Xenopus tropicalis: one gene and its partner. Each later gene encodes a partner of the first gene's protein in a complex. Links are inferred from orthologs where the notes say so. Each region holds a gene or a part of one and is shown in the gene's direction. Other genes may lie near its edges.

Evidence for each region. Proteins that work in one complex are often made in the same cells at the same time.
Region 2: emc10 (region 1) and emc9 share a complex: the UniProt entries of both Homo sapiens proteins name them as parts of the ER membrane protein complex. The link is inferred for Xenopus tropicalis from reciprocal best matches to the Homo sapiens genes EMC10 and EMC9.

What each region holds. Positions count from the first base shown.
Region 1 is NC_030683.2:110,440,453-110,442,742, reverse strand, and holds the end of emc10 (ER membrane protein complex subunit 10 precursor), read left to right. Parts: intron 1-1,205; coding exon 1,206-1,316; 3' UTR 1,317-1,790; downstream 1,791-2,290. UniProt on the Homo sapiens protein: Part of the endoplasmic reticulum membrane protein complex (EMC) that enables the energy-independent insertion into endoplasmic reticulum membranes of newly synthesized membrane proteins.
Region 2 is NC_030677.2:139,430,987-139,435,286, forward strand, and holds the start of emc9 (ER membrane protein complex subunit 9), read left to right. Parts: upstream 1-1,500; 5' UTR 1,501-1,658; exon of another isoform or gene 1,659-1,689; intron 1,690-1,695; exon of another isoform or gene 1,696-2,132; intron 2,133-3,462; 5' UTR 3,463-3,466; coding exon 3,467-3,658; intron 3,659-3,764; coding exon 3,765-3,841; intron 3,842-4,300. UniProt on the Homo sapiens protein: Part of the endoplasmic reticulum membrane protein complex (EMC) that enables the energy-independent insertion into endoplasmic reticulum membranes of newly synthesized membrane proteins.

The sequences.
Region 1 (2,290 bases):
CCAAAGAGTAGTGATGAGCGAAATTTTTGGCAAGGCATGGATTTGCGGCAAATTTCTGCGTTTCGCTATTAGCGGATTTTTTTGCAAAAGGCCGCAAACGATTTGCTGCAGAAAAATTTGCGCAGTGATTGTAATTGATTACCTTATATTCCAGGTTGGTGCTCCTGTTAGCAGAAAACCACACCAGCCTGGAGTAGCTGTGAGAGAGTGGTGTGGTTTTCTCCTAACAGGACCACCAACCTGTGGTATAAGGTAAGCGATTACAATCACGGGGGGGGTGTCTAACATTTTGGCACCCCCCAAGTGATTTTACCTTTCATTCTCCTTGTCTATTTAATGTCAAGCAGTTAATATACTTTAGCAAAAGTGACCCAGGCCTTACCTGACTTTAAGGTCACCCCCACTTCAAAGAGTAATGCAGAGCAACTGTTCCGAGCTGCTGTAGATTACCTGTGAGCTATTCCATCCCCTTTCCGTGCTAAATCCATCTGCAGCAGGATCACCTCCTAACACCAAATTTGCAAATTTTGTCAGCCCACTTTGGCTATATAACCCGCTGGTGCTGTGCCAGGGCTGCCCAGTGTATGAGCCCACCTTTAGATTTAGCAAATGCTAAGAGAGACGTTGTATGTGGTGGGGTTGATAAAGGGGAGAAGTAGCAGGGTTCATTGAGTGGAGAGGTGATTGAAAGACTGGCAGAAAGGTGAGACGATGGAGAGGACGTGAGGGAGAGAAAAGTGGTACTGCTATTGGCACAGGCTACCGGGACTCATTTTTTGCAGGTACCAAACTATAGGTTCCAGCCTATTTTCATCAATTTGCCGGCTAAGGAAATCCTTACATGGGTACCTTAGAATGGACACTGGGTAGCCTGAAATCCGTTGCTGATCTATCCATGCATGCAAAGGGCAGTAGGCTGGTGGTAGTTTTAGTTGTCTAAAAAACTTAAATATGTTTAAATTTATATGTTATATCTATATAAAATATACATACGTGTATATTTTTATCTGCAGCTGTATGTTATTTCTCTTTTTTTTTTTTAGGATGGTTCTCCCTGCTGGACGTTAATTTAACAAACAACTCAGTAATTGTTTTTTCCACTTCAATTTGCAATTCCCCATAAATTGAATTTCTGTGCCTTTGCATGAGCTGGCAGCATCGCTATAAAGAGATAATTAGTGCTAACAATTGTTTCCATTTTGCAGTGGATGTACATTATTCCCGTCGTGTTGTTCTTAATGATGTCTGGAGCGTCTGACGCTGGCAACCAAGGAGGCAATGGTGGAGGAGGCGGTGGCAGTGGGGGAGGAAGGTGATTGCTATGAATGGAACCTTGATGTCCCCTTTGAGAATACACTGGCAGCCTTTATCACAGCTGGCTATCACCAGTGCATGTGAACTGCATTATTTTGTTACATGGAGCACAGCATTCCATTTGCCACCATCTGCAAGAAGAGAGATTCAATGGATTTGATTGAAACTAAACCTAAAATGCAACTTTCTTTTTATGAAAATGCTCCCAGTAGTAGTCACAAATATATATACATGCAAAGGTATCAGGAGCTTGGGAGGATACTGCAGTATGGATGGGGTCGTAGGGATCATTTGTCTACTAAAGGACACATCAAGTGTGTCTCCTACTCACAACTGAATACTTGCTCTTTGCTACATAGTAACTGTATACACATTTGTCAGAGAATATATATTTGTGAATGAGATGCATTTTCATATGGGCTCAACTTGGATTTTAGTTTTAATGATGCATTAATTTATTAAAAACTTTGGAATTATTTGGTGTGTGGTTCGGTGTGTATTGTTGGAATGGACAGATATAAAACTATGCTGAGTTTGACAGACTGACATCTGGAGCCATCGCAGGGAGAATGATGCTATTGATAATTAACCTATTAATTGAACTTTTTTTTTACTATAATGATTCAGTATATGAAATCCCAGGTTCTTACTATTTGTATGTTCCAGAAAATACTAAAAAAAAAAAATCTAATATATGAAAGGATACTGAGAGTTCAGCAAGCTAGTTGGGCATTCCTGAATAAAATTGTGACATTAAAAGGATTGTTGATTTTTATTTTGATATATACAATGATATGAGACAATTTGTAATTGGTTTACATTTTTTATTATTGGTTTTTGACTTATTTACCTCTTTGTTCAGCAACTCTCTAGTTAACCTGAAGATGAGCCATCTTTTTAAGATTTCTTTTTGCCCTTTGTCTCTTTCTTTGTTTTTTTGGGCTGATGAAGTTGAACTTTATCACAAACTATTTCC
Region 2 (4,300 bases), on another chromosome or scaffold:
CGGGCAGGTGAGGGTGTGACTTTGAGGTAGTTCAGAGAGAAAGGCTGTATACTAATTACTTCCAGACGAGGCGGCTCTTGATAGCCGCAGCTGGCACTACCGGAGAGTAAGCACAGGAGGGAGAGAGGGCTGGATGATGAATGGGAGGGTAGCTGCTCTGAGAGCCGATTAGCATCGCCGGTGTTTGTGTTAAGCTGGCCATACACGCACCGATACTATCGTACGAAACCTTGTTTCGTACGATATTCGGTGCGTGTATGGCATGTTGGCGAGTCGACCGATATCGCAGGAAACTGCTGATATCGGACGACTCACCGATCGGCCAGGTTAGAAAATTTTGATCGGGCGCCATAGAAGGCGCCTGACCAAAATCTGCCGTCAGGGCTGAATCGGCAGAAGGAGGTAGAAATCCTATTGTTTCTACCTCCTTATCTGCTGTTTCAGCCCTGACTGTGTGTGGCGGATCTGACGATGTTTCGTGCGACCATCGGTCATATAAACATCGTCAGATCACCACGTGTATGGCCAGCTTTAGGGGGAGGGAAAGAATCTGCACAGAAACTGTGATAAAAACTGTTTGTGGAAGGTGGAAGGTTGTGAGGAGAGCGCATGGCAACCTCCCATTTGATCAGTACTTAGTCCCCTATGTAACCTCAATGAGGTGGATACTTTTTTGGCAATGGAAGTGAAAGAGGGGCTTTAGTACAATAGACTGTTTATGGAGGTTGGTTTGACTGTGTAACTACGGTGATTTCAGACTCTACTGATCTAGTGCATGCACCAATCCCTCCCCCCTCTTCCCTTTACTGCATCTGGCTAATTTTACTACTAGGAAGCCAGTGCTATGGGATACATAGATCTATATCTCCTGTGATGATGCATGAGACTAATGAAATGTAACTTACCCTGTAAATAAGTGTAAATATTATAGTGAACTTCTACCTCAATGATTTTCACCCCCTTGAATTTTTTCCTTGCAATTTATAAGATAACTGATCATGCATAATGATTAATATCAATCTATTATTGATTATTAAGACAACTAACAAAGACTAATGAATGTGTAAATATATCTTTTGTAACTTATGTAACTATTTTTTTATCATATGAAATTCACTTTTTAACTTTAAGATGAAATAAAAGCTATGTTTTAATTAATTAATCAGATGAAGCACTTAAGTGTTTTTGTATTGGAGTTAATGAAACACTGAACAACAGAATCAAGGCTAGGCTGAAAAGCCTGAAACCTGGCTGGGGCAGAATAAGGTTTGATGGGCCAAAATGCAGAAAGGTGGGATGGAATGCTAACACTCAAGCACCGAGCAAAAAGTCTGTGGTGTAATCCGTATTAAAAAAGACACCCTGTGCATGCTGTCCCTTCTGACAGTCCCCAGCAATCTCTAATAATAACACGCTGCGCAGCTGGACACAGCAATCGACCACCTCGGCTCCGTGCCACTACAAAGCTGGATGAAAACAGCTAACACCCCCTTAATGATCCCATTACTTCCTGTTTGCAGGGACGGCCCCGCCCTCCAGTTCCTATCAGTCACGTGGTACAGTGTCACCCTTTCATGGTCCCTCTGCCGGATAGGAAGCTGACTCTGCCTATGCTGACTGGGATTCTGCTGCTGTAGGAGAGTTGGTGCAAGAGCAGGGTAAAAGCAAGCTTCTCATTATTCAGTTTGGGTGGGTACCTCTTTCTCTGCATCATGTAATACTGCTTCTGTAGGGATTATATCCCTTCACTTTGATAGATCACTGTATGGGCTCTTAATAAATGAACAAATGTGTTAAGCCCTATAATAACTAAGTATAACTGTTTATTCCTGCATCTTACTGGTTACACCCTATTAGCAGCACTTCAGATCCATTTAGTGATATATGACCAAGATAGAAGTGGGCTTTTTATTTCATGGGCACCCATATCTACTTATTATAGCTATACAAATAATATCAGGGTTGGACTGGGCTGGTGGGACACCGGGAAAAAAACAGGTGGGCCCTAGCTCTTGTGGGCCCTGCCGGCCCAGGTCCACTCCCTGTCTTGGACTTGTGCGTTCCACGCAGCCACTGAAGTAATGCAACACGGCATGCAAATGCGCAGGGGATGGCAAGGTCTGTCTTGCAAGGTAAGGACCAGGGTGCATGGAGTGGTGTGGCAGCAGGCCGACACTGAATGATATATCAATTATATACTGCTTCCGGCCAATATACCTGTGGGTTCTAAATGTAGTCTTATATGCAGAATATATACATTCTGCATATATTACTACATTTACACCTTATATGATTAAGGGGGGGGAAAAAATATCAGATATGGTTCAGGACATCCCCTTTATAGTGTTACTACAGTATTACAGAGTGTTTATATATAAAACATGCCAGTCTGTACTTATTTATATATTAAACTTGCAAAATGCAGAATGAATTTGACTCACCACCATGTTTCTTATTTTTCACAGTTGCAAGTATGCATTATACCTTCTAAATCTACCCCCTGTAACTGCACCCAGGCTGATGCAATGGCTCCAGGTGCAGGCATAGGGGCTAATTTTTGGCCTGCAAATAAACATGTGGTATTAGCATTAAGGTGGCCATACACAGGCAGATGTAAGCTGCCAATGCAAGTCCTTCAGACTGATTTAGCAGCTTATCTCCCTGTATGTGAGGTCCTCCAACAGGCCTCCCCGACCACATTGGTTTATTGATGTGGTTCTCTCTCTTACTTTTTCTATCCCCTTCATTGCAATGCAGTCGTTTTAGCACAACATTGCATACTGGTGGGTATATTGGGGGAAAAGATTAGCATGTTTGGCAACCTCGCCACATAAGTTAATCTTACCATGTATAGCCACCTTTAGACTTGCACATTAGAAACAATCAAACATTGTTGAGCCTGAGTTAGCGGTGCACAGGAAAGTTAAGAAAAATGCCAGCAAACATTATGCAACTTATTTCCCTGGGTAGGTGCACTTCTTTTCCAAAAAGGGGCAGGCTTGGGAGGGGAACAATTAGTGATTACATTCATAAGGGGGTGCTTAACATATGGGTACCCCCCCAGTGAATTTGTCTTTCTTTTCCTTTAATCTAACAAATGACTTGAAACCAACGTAGGGTGCTGCGCCACCACCTTCTTTGCTGTCCCCAAAATCCCTGTACCTCTTGAACCTGAGCACATTTGCAGTACATAAATCAGCAGAAGCTGATGGAAGAAGAAGGAGGCCCCAAGCAATGTAGTTTTTTGAAGAACAGGAGCACTGGCCTGGGTTAGCAGGTTAGCAATTAGAATATTGTAGTTGTGTAACATATTGGCACACCCCAGGGAATTTAATTTTATTTCTTCTTTGATGTATTACAAGTGACCTTTTATTCAAGCACAGATCTTGCAGAAATTGAAGTTTTGTGCATAATTTGCTTTAGATTCTACCGTGCACTCTTTATTTGTTCCATGCTTTGTAGGAAAATGTGTGAAGTTGAGTTCACCACTCGTGTTTATGTCAAGATGCTTCTGCATGCGGCACGCTATCCTCACAGTACCGTGTGTGGGGCTCTCCTGGGTCACAAATCACATGGATGTGTCACCCTGAGTGACTGTATCCCAATCTGTCACCTTTATCTGCCTTTGTCTCTCAGTTTAGAAGTGGCTCTAACACAGGTATGTAACCATTCTATGGGCACTCTTTGCCATTCCAAAGTGCTTTCACACTGTTCCAAACACTTGTAGCTTTCTCTCTCTTTTTTTCTCTCTTACTGTGATACAGATCGATTCATGGAGTGCTCTCCAAGGACTGGTAATTGCTGGTTATTACCAAGCAAACTCTGGCCTGAGAGACACCAGGTAATAAGCTATGCAAATACTTTTTGTCTGTACCCCTTTGTCAGTGTTGTTTTGTGCAGATTGAGGTTTTGCGCATCATTTACTTTAGATTTTACCATGTGCTCTTTACCATGCACAGATTTTCTGCTGTCTCTGTGTGCAGCTTCCTGTCTTTGGAGCAACTTTACCCCAATGCAGTAAGGGTGGCCATACACCGTACGATCCGTTTGGCTAATTACAATTCTGGGTATAGGAGCCATAACAGTGAGGACCATTTCAATGATACAAAGCAGTCCCTGGTCCGACAGGAAAATCAGACCTGTCCAATTGACACCTAACCCAATTTTTGACATGGGCAGATAAGCAGCCGAAATGGTCTGAAGGACTTGAATGACAGCTTAAATCTGCCCATGTAAGGCCACCTTATTCCATAGCAGCCTGGAAAATGAAACCTGCCCAATTTTTATCTGGCTGATTTTT